Ovis aries: one gene and its partners. The protein of the gene in region 2 interacts with the protein of the main gene of each other region in a pairwise test. Links are inferred from orthologs where the notes say so. Each region holds a gene or a part of one and is shown on either strand. Other genes may lie near its edges.

Evidence for each region.
Region 1: the proteins of USP25 (region 2) and RAD23B interact in binary tests that used the Homo sapiens proteins (3 or more experiments, as listed by UniProt). The link is inferred for Ovis aries from reciprocal best matches to the Homo sapiens genes USP25 and RAD23B.
Region 3: the proteins of USP25 (region 2) and TNKS2 interact in a two-hybrid assay, tested with the Homo sapiens proteins (2 studies listed by BioGRID and IntAct). The link is inferred for Ovis aries from reciprocal best matches to the Homo sapiens genes USP25 and TNKS2.

Annotation. Positions count from the first base shown.
Region 1 is NC_056055.1:15,850,865-15,855,117, reverse strand, and holds the start of RAD23B (UV excision repair protein RAD23 homolog B), read left to right. Parts: upstream 1-1,441; 5' UTR 1,442-1,470; coding exon of another isoform or gene 1,471-1,644; 5' UTR 1,645-1,744; coding exon of another isoform or gene 1,745-1,796; coding exon 1,797-1,862; intron 1,863-4,253. Other genes in the region: uncharacterized protein LOC121818810, read right to left, coding at 1,060-1,367, 1,471-1,644, 1,745-1,798. UniProt on the Homo sapiens protein: Multiubiquitin chain receptor involved in modulation of proteasomal degradation. Binds to polyubiquitin chains.
Region 2 is NC_056054.1:142,138,246-142,142,560, reverse strand, and holds the start of USP25 (ubiquitin carboxyl-terminal hydrolase 25), read left to right. Parts: upstream 1-1,400; 5' UTR 1,401-1,752; coding exon 1,753-1,797; intron 1,798-2,004; exon of another isoform or gene 2,005-2,243; intron 2,244-4,315. UniProt on the Homo sapiens protein: Deubiquitinating enzyme that hydrolyzes ubiquitin moieties conjugated to substrates and thus, functions in various biological processes including inflammation and immune response.
Region 3 is NC_056075.1:13,175,607-13,179,245, reverse strand, and holds part of TNKS2 (poly [ADP-ribose] polymerase tankyrase-2), read right to left. Parts: intron 2,519-3,639; coding exon 2,347-2,518; intron 315-2,346; coding exon 235-314; intron 1-234. UniProt on the Homo sapiens protein: Poly-ADP-ribosyltransferase involved in various processes such as Wnt signaling pathway, telomere length and vesicle trafficking.

The DNA of each region.
Region 1 (4,253 bases), on a different chromosome or scaffold from region 2:
TTCTGGACCTGCAGGAGGGTGACTCCAGGTACCTTACTCATCATCTCTTTACTTCAGTTTTCTTATCTGAAATGGGCATACTACAAATAGCTATCTACTTATGGGCTGCTAACTCTGTGCGTTCCTGGTACAAAGGTTTTACATACATTATTCAACACTCCCCTCCAATAATCAATGAAATTGAGTGCTATTACTATTCCCATTTTACTGATGAGAAACCGAGCGCACATTCATGGATTCCAAAAATATTTACTGTGCCTGCATTACACGCCAGGCATGTTTCTTCGTGCTAGGGGTGCATCACCCAACACAAAATCTCTGTGCAGCTTGCCTGTGATTTACTGAAGGGAGAAAGATGATAAACCCAATAAATATGTATTAATGGGACGACAGAGGATGAGATGGTTGGATGGCATCACCGACCCGATAGACTTGAGTTTGAGTAAGCTCCGGGAGTTGGTGATGGACAGGGAAGCCTGGCGTGCTGCAGTCCATGGGGTCGCAGAGAGTCGGACACGACTGAGCGACTGAACTGAAGTGCTATAGAAAACACAGCAGGGTAAGGGAACTAGGGAAGTTGCTGTTTTAAGTCGGGTATCCAGAGTCGATCTCCCTGAGAAGGCGACATCCGAGCAAAGATTGGAAGGAAGTGAGAAGTCGAGCCACCCAGGTATAGAGGAAAAGTGGACTCGAAGCGGAAACAGCAAGGGTGAAGGTAGACTCTCAGGTTGAGAGCATTTGCTGAACATCCACCAACAACGTCTAGTGCAAGCCGAGAGAATAAGATGTAAGAGGTAGGGGCTGTGTACCCAGCTCTAGGAACTTTGACTTTTACTCATGAGATGAGGTGCCATTGGACAGATCTGCCTGGGGAAGTGATATAACTTGATCTTATATTTAGGCGCAAGGTCCACTAACATCGTCTAGCGCTTAAGTCAGTGTTCTCAGGGTAAATGAATCCCAGCACAAGGCTTCAGCCACACAGCAAGCGCCCTGCAAGCGCTGGCCCTCTACGCTGGTTGCCCGCAACCCTTTCACTTAAACCTCGCCCCGACCTACCGCCCTCTAGTTCCCCAGTTCCAAGGCTCGCCAGCCACTCTGTCCTGTCTCCACGTAGCGCTTCCCCGGCTACGGATTGCGCAACTCAGGCAACCGGGCGGAGTCTGCACGTAGGCGGAGCGACAGCGGGCGGGAGAAGGCCCCAGAAACAGACGCGACGAGGAAGCCCGGAGCGCCCCCACGAGACGCCCACTGACTGCGCCTGCGCACGCGCCATCCCGGCGGCCGACATTCCAGAGCGGCAATCCGCCCCGCCCCAATTCCGGGGCGGAGTTCTTGCCTGCGCCTGCGCACAGCCTCGCCGCACCCTACGCCTGCGCGCTCCGCCGTCCCGGCCCCATCCCCCCCAGGTTTTTAGGGTGGTGGGGGGAGGGCGCGTCTCGGCGAGTCACGATGATGGCGGCCACCAGCCTGTGGTGAGCTAGCGGATTCTCTGCTGCTCTCGCAGAGCCCCTCGCGCTTCTTACAGACCCAGTGGCTGGTAACCGGGCGCGTGAGGAAGCACGGCGGCCCGAGCTCGCGAGGAAGGCCGCAGTCGCGGAGGCAGCGGCGCGGCCGGGAGCCAGGGCTGGGGGAGAGGCCGCTCTGCAGGGCGAATGTGACAAGCCCCCACCCCCACCGCCTTCCTCCCGAGTGCGCGAGGAGCGCGGGCGACCCCGGGGCCCCGCCAGGCCACAGACCCCGCCCAGCGGCCAGCACCCGGAGCAGGCCCGGCAGCCGAGCTGCGCGACGGCACCATGCTGGTCACCCTGAAGACCCTCCAGCAGCAGACCTTCAAGATCGACATCGACCCCGACGAGACGGTGAGTGCGGCGGGGCGCGCTGGGCCCGGCACGGAGCGGGGGCGGTCCGCGCGAGGGGCCGGGAGGGCCTGGGCTGGGGGTGGCGCGGCGGGACCGCGTGCGGGGCCCCGACCTCAGCTTCGAGCGCAGCCTGAGCGGGTAGAGCCGCGGTGCACCCGAGAGGGCATGGCGAGCGGGGGGTCTAGGGACCCGGGCGCTTATGAGGCCTGCGGGTTCCAGGCGCGGGTAGGGCCAGGGACCCGGCAGCGTGCGGCCCACTGGACCTTCAGGGTGGGCTGTGGGCTTTGTGGCAGGAGTGCGGGGAAGCAGTGGTCGGACACCGAAGCCCGAGTGGCATATGGCGTGAAGCACGCGTTAGCGGGGCACCGGAGGCCTCGGCCTGGGCGCTCTCGGTGGAGGGGCCAGAGGGGGAGGGGAGGTCAGGGTGGCCTGGGCGGTCGAGCTGCGCTCCGGGGTGTGGGTGCACAGGTTAGGGAGGGAGAGGTAGGCGTCGCCACTATCCCTGCGTGGACCTGGTTAGGCGCTGAGGTCTTGGAGGTGGTAACTGGAGATAATGAGCCTTAAATAAAATGGTATCAGGTTCCGTCAGCCGCAGAGTGTGAGTGCGAGGGGTGGTGAAAATGCCTTTTTTGCCCTCTTCCCCGCAGAATTGGTGACCATTTTATTTGCATAAATCTTGAATCGTTTCGCAGCAGTTCTCCCGCCACCCAGCCCACACCCATACGTAGATTGCACTTCGAGGCCTTTTTGGTGGTGAAGGTTGTTGCATTAGAGCCCTTCCAATAAATCCAGGCGCAAACTTAACTCCAGATTAGCAAGTTCCCTGTGTTAGAAGCCTTGAAATTGTAGGATCGGAAGTCTGCACCCAACCCCCAAATAATAGCCTTTCAGAGGAGAAATAAAGAAAATAAAAACTCTGACTCTCTTCTGTAAACTCTTGAACGACTCTTAACTTCACCTGTTAAATTCTCATGTCATCCTCTGTATTTGTGACTGCAAAAAGCCACTGTGTTGAAATCAGTACAACTTTATGCCAAGATCTAAAAATTGCCATTCAGTGTAAACTTACTTCTTGTGTTCTGGAAGTGTGAGTCTGTACACCTTTGAGGTTGTCACAGTGCTGTATTTACAGTAGCAACTTTCTGCCCGTCTGTATTTTTCAAAATAATTGATTCAGTTTTGGTGGATGTCGGGGATCTTCAGTTCAGTCGCTTAGTCGTTTCCTACTCTTTGCGACCCTGTGGACCGCAGCATGCCAGGCCTCCCTGTCCAGAGCTTACTTATTTAAACTCATGTCCGTTGAGTCGGTGATGCCATCCAACCATCTCATCCTCTGTTTTCCCCTTCTCCTCCTGCCTTCAATCTTTCCCAGCATCAGGGTCTTTTCCAGTGAGTCATTTCTTCACTTCAGGTGGCCAAGCATTGGAGTTTGAGCTTCAGCATCAGTCCATCCACTGATATTCAGGACTGATTTCCTTTAGGATGGACTGGTTGGATCTCCTTGCAGTCCAAGGGACTCTAAAGAATCTTCTCCAACACCACACTTCAAAAGCATCAATTCTTCTGGGCTCAGCTTTCTTTATAGTCCAACTCTCACATCCATACAGGACTACTTGGTGTTGGTTAATTAAATAAACCTGAGCTCCCATTTTCGGCTCTAACTTAATTTGCTATGTACCTGTTTTACAAAGATGTGAAGATTAAATAGTATTTAATTGGTGGTCAGTAAATGGAATCCATTATTAATCAATGGGTACCTTTGAGTGAGGAAGTTTTCTACATCTTGAATTTTCATTTTAAAAATGTAGTTCCCAAGCTTTTTGAAATTGTGGCAGAAAATGGTTTTAGTTCAAGGCACTTAATTATATGTGTAAATATGCTACATGATAAATTCTTAAAAGGTGCAAGAGATACCAAGCTTCAATGAGAAATTCAGTGCCCTCAAAATTGACAACACCTGTGGATTGCTATTACTGAATAGTACTGCTTATTTTGTACTTATAAGTTAAAGGATGGAAGTGAAAATGCAGCTGTGTAATGTTTTCAGCCAAAATTTTCCATAAAATAGCTATTGACTTTAGTTTTTTGTAATGTTGGTGCTGCAGGAACTTAACCAACTGGTATTCACAATTAGTTCCAGAATTATTGAAACCTGAAGGTTTGGGGTTTGTGTGTGTGTGTGTTTTATATTTCTGGGTTTATTGAAGATATGCAGTGACTTTCTACAGCTCCACTGAAATATTTATGTTCTACTAGATTTGTGTTGCTCTTTAGGCATTTTACGCATTCATTATCTTAGAGCCAGTATTGTGTTTGTATAGATAATTAGCTATGTTACTATTTGTGTTTGTATAGATAATTAGCTATGTTGCTATTTTCCAGTTTATTTAT
Region 2 (4,315 bases):
CTGTGGTATTGGAGAAGACTCCTGAGAGTCCCTTGGACTGCAAGGAGATCCAACCAGTCCATCCTAAAGGAGATCAGCCCTGGGTGTTCACTGGAAGGACTGATGTTAAGCTGAAACTCCAAAACTTTGGCCAGCTGATGCAAACAGCTGACTCCTTTGAAAAGACCCTGATGTTGGGAAAGATTGAAGGCAGGAGAAGGGGAGGACAGAGGATGAGATGGTTGGATGACATCACCGATCAATGGACATGAGTTTGAGTAACTTTAGGAGTTGGTGATGGACAGGGAAGCCTGATGTGCTGCAGTTCGTGGGGTTACAGAGTCGGACACGACAGAATGACTGAATTAAACTGAACTGAACCACGGATTATTCCTTCTCTCGCAGCACACTGCATCTTCACATCCTATTTGTGTCCCACCCCCAGATTAGCTTGTGAAATTCAAGATATTTTTGAGGTTATAGACTGCTTTCTCAAAATTAGGTTTTCCTTACTATTCCATATATAATCAAGTATTTCAAGAAGGGTGGTTAATTGATAATTGTTTTGCAACTGGGGTATCCTGTACCATCTAGGCAGTGATATTTTTGTAACACTGTCTGTTGAATAGACCGTATTTCATTTACGTCAAACCTTAGGAAAATAAACTTTTATTTCCTAAGAGCCTGCCAGTGACTGGCACATGTTTGAAAAGACGAAGTTGACAGAGACTATCAATATTAACTTATGTAATGATTAGTTGCAGAGAAAAGTACATTCCAGCGAAAGGCCTTCTGACAGCCTTTTGCTTAAATCACAATTGACTTTTCTCTTCGGGCAAGTTTACTGCTTGTGAAATTCCTAGAAAGGGCTGGGGAGAGGACTCAGAAAGACCAAGGATTCGGGATCCAAAGCGGTTTGGGAACGTTCAGGGACCTAGAGGAAAATGTTTCTCTTAGAGGGATATGGAAATCTGACAAATTCTGGGCATGAAGAGGCACGATGCCCTCCGGCCTTGGCTTGAAGCGTCGCGGAGCCGCGGGTAGGCGTCGCGCAACCTGCCGCAGGGGCGGCTCCGAGGCCGGGCCCGCGTGGCGCTCGTTCGCCCCACCCCGCGGGACTCCAGGACGGGGGGCGGGGCTCCGGAGCGGCCCCGCCTCCCGTCACACCGACCCGCGGGTCACAATGTAGGGTTAGGGCGGCCTGTGGGCGGGGCTCGGCGGGGGAGGAGCCGCCAGGCGGGGGCGGTGACGGCGGTAGAGGGAAGGGAGGGGAGGGGAGGGGAGGGGGCGGTAGAGGGAGGGGAGGGGAGGGGACAGGAGAGGAGGGAGGGGAGGGGAGGGGAGGGGAGGAGGAGTTGCGGTGGGAGGAGGACAGCGCCATTCTGGCCGGCCGCTCCCTCTGTCCCCTTTCCCTTCCCCGCAGTGGCCCGCGAGCCGCCAGCGGAGGAGCGCGCGCGCGCGCGTGACGCGTCCGGGCTTGCTAGCGCCCTCCCGCCCCCCAGCGTCCACCGCCCGCTCATGGCCCGGGCCGCGGCCGCCGAGCCGCGCTGAGGCGGGCCGCGCGGAGTCGTGGGGCCGCCGCCGTGGCCCTCGGTGTCCGCGCCGCGCCGCCAGCCCGTGGTGCCCGCGCACGCCGGCCGTCGTCGCCTTCGCGCCTGGCTGGCGGGGGCGCTGTCCTCGCCGGCCGTCCGCGCCGCTCCCTGGGGCTCGGCGGAGCGTGGCAGTCAGGGCCAGCGGAGGCTCGGGGAGCCGGACGCCGGCGCGGCGGGGGCCATGACCGTGGAGCAGAACGTGCTGCAGCAGAGCGCGGCGCAGAAGGTGAGGAGACCCGGCCCCGCTCCTCCGCCCGAGGTGCCGCCCTCCCCCGCCGCGGCCGGGACCTCCCCGCCGCCCGGGCCTCCGCGGCCCCAGCTTTCCCCGCGCCGCCGTCTCCCGCCCCTGCCCGCTTTGGGGGCGTCGCTCCCAGTTCCGGGCTGCGTGTGGAAAGCGGGGTGTAGTTAGCGGGTTTCAGTCCACTTCCTTCTTGCCAATTGTTTTCCTGTAACCGACGGTGATGGGTGTTTGTTGAGCGCGACCTTACATTCCTACACTCCTCTGTATGACTTCCTAATTAAACTTTATCTTCCTCGTCTTTTTTTTTTTTTTTTTTTAAGAAAAAGAAATAGCCGGTTGTCATCCCTTGTGAACCCAGTTTTCTTTCCAAGACAGGAGCCTTCCAGATCTGCTATTTTGCAAAAGAGTCTCCACCGCAATTGAATTGCCAGGTACAGGAACCAGGTGGACTCAATGTAAAAGTAGAGGATTTGGTTGGTTCCTTTTTCTTTTTGTTTTTTTTTTTTCCTTTTTTTTAAAAATATAGAAACTGTCCCTTAAGAAGAGACCTTTTCGGCCATGCTTATTTCAGGTATATTTTGTCCCCTAAGTTTGACCTTGTTCCATCCTCACCCTTTACTCTTGCCTGGGTCACACATTAAAGAGGTTGTTCCCTTAAAAAAAAAAATCTGGGTTTGTGAAGCTTCAAATCTTTTCCGTTAAGTATAGTTAAGTGAGAGATGCTACTTTTCCCCCTTCGATTTTGCTTTCGGAATCTGAAGTGCACTCTCACGGGTTGCACCATATCCTGGAGAGTCGTTGGCTATGGCTTAATTTTTGGGGAGGGGGTTATTGGTGTGAAAAACATTTTGGGCAAAAGGAAAACCATTACTTTACTCGTCTTGAAATTATGGTGGTGACCACGGTTTACTGTGAAAAGCTGGTAGAACTATTCGATTTTTCTGGGAGAGTAGTGTGAATGCCCCACCCTGTGGTGTTGATAATCAGTAGTTTTCTTGGCATCATTGTATCCTACCTGTGCTTGATTTTAAAATAAGGCCTACTGTCGTAAAATGGACTATGTATACTCACAGCGTGCTAAGTTTTTGCTTTGAGATATTTTTAGAATTTTATGGTAGTACTTGAAGTAATTGAAGATGCTCAAGAATTTTGGAAAGCGAGCATACTGCATTGTTATTTTAGGCACTTTGGGGAAGTTTTCTTGGAACTCTTGTGTGTTAGTTAATTGTTATTGGTTAATTTGGGCATCCCAGGTGGCTCGGTGATAAAGAATCTGTCTGCAATGCAGAAGACTCTGGTTCGATCCCTGGGTTGGGAAGATCCTTTGGAGAAGGAAATGGCAACCCACTCCAGTATCTTTGCCTGGGAACTCGCATGGACAGAGGGGCCTGAGGGGGTTTCTGGTGTGGCATGGGGCCATGGGGTGGCAAAGAGTAGGACGCCACTTAGCAACTAAAGAGTGACTGGGTTGATTGAGAAGATGTTGCAGACTGCGGTTTATTTGCAGTGAAATAATTCTAGTTTTAATAATGGGAGCTTAGAACAGTTTATCTCCTAATCCCCTTCATTCTGTTTTGAATACTTTGAACTTTAGTTTTTGATGTTGAGTATGTGACAAAGTGTTAATACTTAGAGGAGGATCTTGTGGCCATAGTATACTGAGCAATATTTAGTAGGCTTGGTGTCCTTCCGGTTTATAGTTCTCTTCAATGTTAAGTGTTAAAGCCTATTTTTTTTTTTCAAAGTGGGAAATGTAGCTCATGGTTTTCACATGTCAGATTTGAACAATGGCAAAAAAATTTGTGAGTTTTTAAAATTGATTTTTGACTAATGTACTTAGATAATGCAGATCTGCCCATTTCAGAGGTTTATGCATAAATTTGAATCAAGAATAAATTACTAAAAGTGATCTTAGCCATCAAGTCCAGTTTCTTAGTTTAATGAGTCCCCTCCTTATGCAAAGGGAGTAGTTGTTAGTCTAAAATACTACCATTTTGACACTGTTTTTACTATGTGTCATATCATCTCGTTGAGATTGTGGACATTTTTTAGAGCAATACAGTCGCATTTATTTTTATACTTCTATTATGGTGTTTATGTATTAAAGAAACATTTAATGTGTTTGCTTGCCATATGAATATGCTGTTCTTTGTTACTCATGTTAGTACTATTTTCAAATATTCATACAGGTTCAAATACTTTAAACCATCTACTTCAAATGAACTGACATTAAAATCCACCAAGGTAGTAACTAGGAAGTAGACTTCAAGCTAGTAACTAGGAAGTGAACTACTTTAGAAGAATCAAAAGTGAAACTCTTTGTTTTTAAAATGGAAACTATGAATTATTAGTAAAATGAGAAGTGTCTAGTGCATACTGCATAACCAAAATTTCAGCCTATTTTCTGCTCTTCTGTAAAAACTTGTTGTATGCTCACGTGTAATATCAGCTTTATGTCTGTTCATTGGAACAGTTTCTTATTTTGTGAGATTGTTTTTTTTTT
Region 3 (3,639 bases), on a different chromosome or scaffold from region 2:
ATATATTTACTGAGATGGGTGTGATACTAAAGTTTCTTTCATTACTCAATGATCCTTATTTGCAGAGCAGAATTACCATTATTTACCTTTTAAAACAATGCACATATAAATAACTAGATTTTTTTATTTTAACAGAACAAATAACTAGATTTTTTCATTTTAACAGTATGGATTCATTAAACACTGTCAAAATAAAAACCCAATGTTTAGAAAAACCATAAGATCATGTCTTACTTTTACAGTTTCTACATCTCCAGCCTTTGCAGCTTCCAGCAACTGTCTGTCTGCTTCTGAATTACCTAATGGGATACCCTCTAAAATTAAAAAAAAAGAGAAGGAAAGAGTGATTAACTTCTATTTGGAAGATGGGACCAAGTTTTAAGGGAGGCATCTTATTTCAGAGTAAAGTTCCTTTCACAGTTTGATGGCAATTATGTAGGAAATCTCCATAGTAGTACGGGAAAAGCAGTATAAATTTTTTTGGAAACATCACATATGTGAAATGTATATGAATAATAACTATAAAATGAGATTTAGGCAACATAATGGAATATAAAATAGGTAACAGAAGATTACTCTATAACGAAGTCAGTGACTGGTGGTAAAGTATTAAATAAGGAGAGCAACAGCTAGACATCTCCCCATGGTTCTGCCATTGACTAGCTATCTGAATTGGAACAAGTCATTTGAACTTTCTGGGCCTCAGATTGTTCCAGTTCTAAAAAGACAAAAGACATTGGATTAGAAACAAGTGAAGTTATTTTCAGGTCTGAAACTCTGTTTTATAGCTCATTTTAAATCTCAAAAGAAAGGAAGAAAACATATACCTTGTATCTTAGAACAAATAAACTTCAGATGGGTTAAAGATGCTACATATGAAAAATTAAAACTTAAAAATATTTTAAAAAATAGGTGAATATTTATCTTGAAATAGAAAAGCATCCTAAAGCAAGTACATCAAAGGCAGAACCAAAACTGATTTGGAAAAATATCTGTCAGACAACAAAATAAAACTAAACAAAATTATAGGCAAAAAACAAAATTGGAAAAAATATTGCAGCATACACGTTGGAAATGCAAATTAAAATGATATACTAGGCTTTTCTTTCATCCATTAGTGGACAAAGAGCAAATGAAAGAGTTACACTGTCAATACTTCTATAATTTGCATTTTAAAAAAGCACCTATTACTTCTGTAATACAAACATACACACAATCACTCACACACACTCACCCAAGGAAATTATAAAGAATCATAATATCTGGGGCTGACAAGGAAAACAGGTCCTGTCATAAACTATTAATAGGAATGTAAAATGGTACATAACAGCCTTTCTAGGAGATGATTTAACAATTATGTTAACCTTGACTCAGAAATTCCACTTTAAGAAACTCACTGGAAAGGTAATGTATAGCATGTAGCATAAAAGCAAGACTGTAAATGTCCATCACCAGGTAACTGAACAGAACTAATGCTATTACCCTCAACTCTGACACTGAAACACACGCATGGTAGATGGGAAAGTAAAGGCAATTCTGAGAGCAGTCTTGTAGTTCAGAATTTTAGAAGTTCCCAGGAGATCTTATTAATCTGCCTTTATCTATTCAAGCAGTGTTTTCTCAAAATGGGGCTTCTAAACCACAGGCATAAGGATCATCAAGGGGGACTATTAAAGGTACAAAACACTTGGTCTGTTACATTTCTTCTCATTTGAGCTCTGAGGTGTCAAAGAGGTTTTATTAATGTCTAGTAAAATACAGAGATGTAGGCAAAGACACTTTGAAATTATGGGACCATATTTCTTTTATTTATCTTTAATTGGAAGGGACCAGAATTCTAGGCTGAAATGTTTAACCTATGCCAAATGTGTAGATATTGAATATAAGTTGATTTGAATTTAAAATGAATATCAGTGTATTCAAACATAAGTCAAATAGTTGGTTACTGTGTACAGATTCTATATGCCTTATGTAAAGGATCTAGAGGAGTGAACAGGCAGGACTGGCCTCTAAGCGTATTATTTATAGCTCTGGTTGCTCTACTAGGAGATAGCTACCCTCTTCAGTTTCCCTCTCTTTAAAAAGAAATAGCAACTATTGCATCTCACTCTTAAAACCTTTCTAGATAAAAACTTAAGAGCCAGCTATTTACTCAGCAAAGATCAGTAGCAAACACTACTGGGAAAAAGACTTAACAACATGGAGGCACTGACTACAACGAGCTGATCAAGAAGAAATAGCAGCCAATAATTTTGAAAATTTTTCTTTTTACTACCAACTCCTACATGATATATGAAAAAATTTAAAAGTTAACTGAAAAAATAATTTCACTGAAGTATTCAATACCTTGAAGAAGTTGCTGCACATTTTCATTTCCCATCTGTAAGGCAGTAAAGCCCTGAAGGGATATGATGTTAGGATCACACCCATAGCTCAGGAGTAAGCGGCAAGTCTGCAGATGACCACAATGTGCAGCTCTGTGCAGAGAAGTCTGACCGAGATTATCCAGAGCATTAACCTTAACAATCAGAAAAAACGGAAATTAGCCTGTGGTACAAAATTTTAAATGCTCTAATTATGGGTTCAGGTTCAACACTTGTTACTAACTTAAAAATGCCCAAGTATTCTCTTATAAAGACTATTATCCAGTGACAAAGAAAGTATTTTCTCTCAAATTTAGAGTACAAATTCACCAATTCATGACGGCTGACATCAGGAGACCCAATTTTGGATTAAAAGTTTAAGATGTTGAATAATAGTTGTGTTTAGCATTGAAGCATTCATAGATTCATCACATTTACAGACATTGCCTAGGAAGTCTAATGCATATATTTTTAAGGATCACTAAGGTGCAGAAATGTGGAGACTAACCCCGAGATAACAGATAACAAAGTCAGACACTAAATTAGCATTAAAATACTTATTCTATTGGCTTAATCTTCTATCTTGTTTATCATTTAACATACAATCTGTACAAAGACAAAGACACTACAGTATATTCACACAATGGAATACTTCTCAGCAATAAAAAGAATTATTGTTACTGCTGAATCACCTAAACATTAACCTGAGTGAAAAAACGTTTGACACAAAAGAGTCAATGAATATTGTACAATCTCATGGACATGAAGGTCCAAAGTGGTAAATTAATCTACTGTAGAAAAAATCCAAACGGCTGTTGCCTCTAGGCAAGGAGACTGCCTTGGATGGGACACTGTCTCTGCCATGTGGTTATGCTCTCTATCTTCAAGAGGTTTGGTTACACAGGTGTTTGCATTAGGCAAAATTCAGTAAATGTACATTTAAGAGCTGTACATTTCATTGCACGTAAATTCACATCCAGAGAAAAACGGTGAACAAATATTGACCTCTAGTTGATGCCTATTAACAGAATTTAGGGAGATGTATATAGTAACTTGCAAATTACTTTGAAGTGTGTCAAAAAATATAAGATACTGATAAGAGGGAAAAATTGATGGATATGTAAGGAAACAATATGGTAAAAAGCTAGTGGTAGAATTTATATAGCAAGTATATAGTTATACTCTGTAAAACTCTCTCAACTTGGCTGTATTTTTGAAAATTTTCATAGTAATAATAAAAAGATCACCTTCTATCTCATTCCCAACCCACCAACTC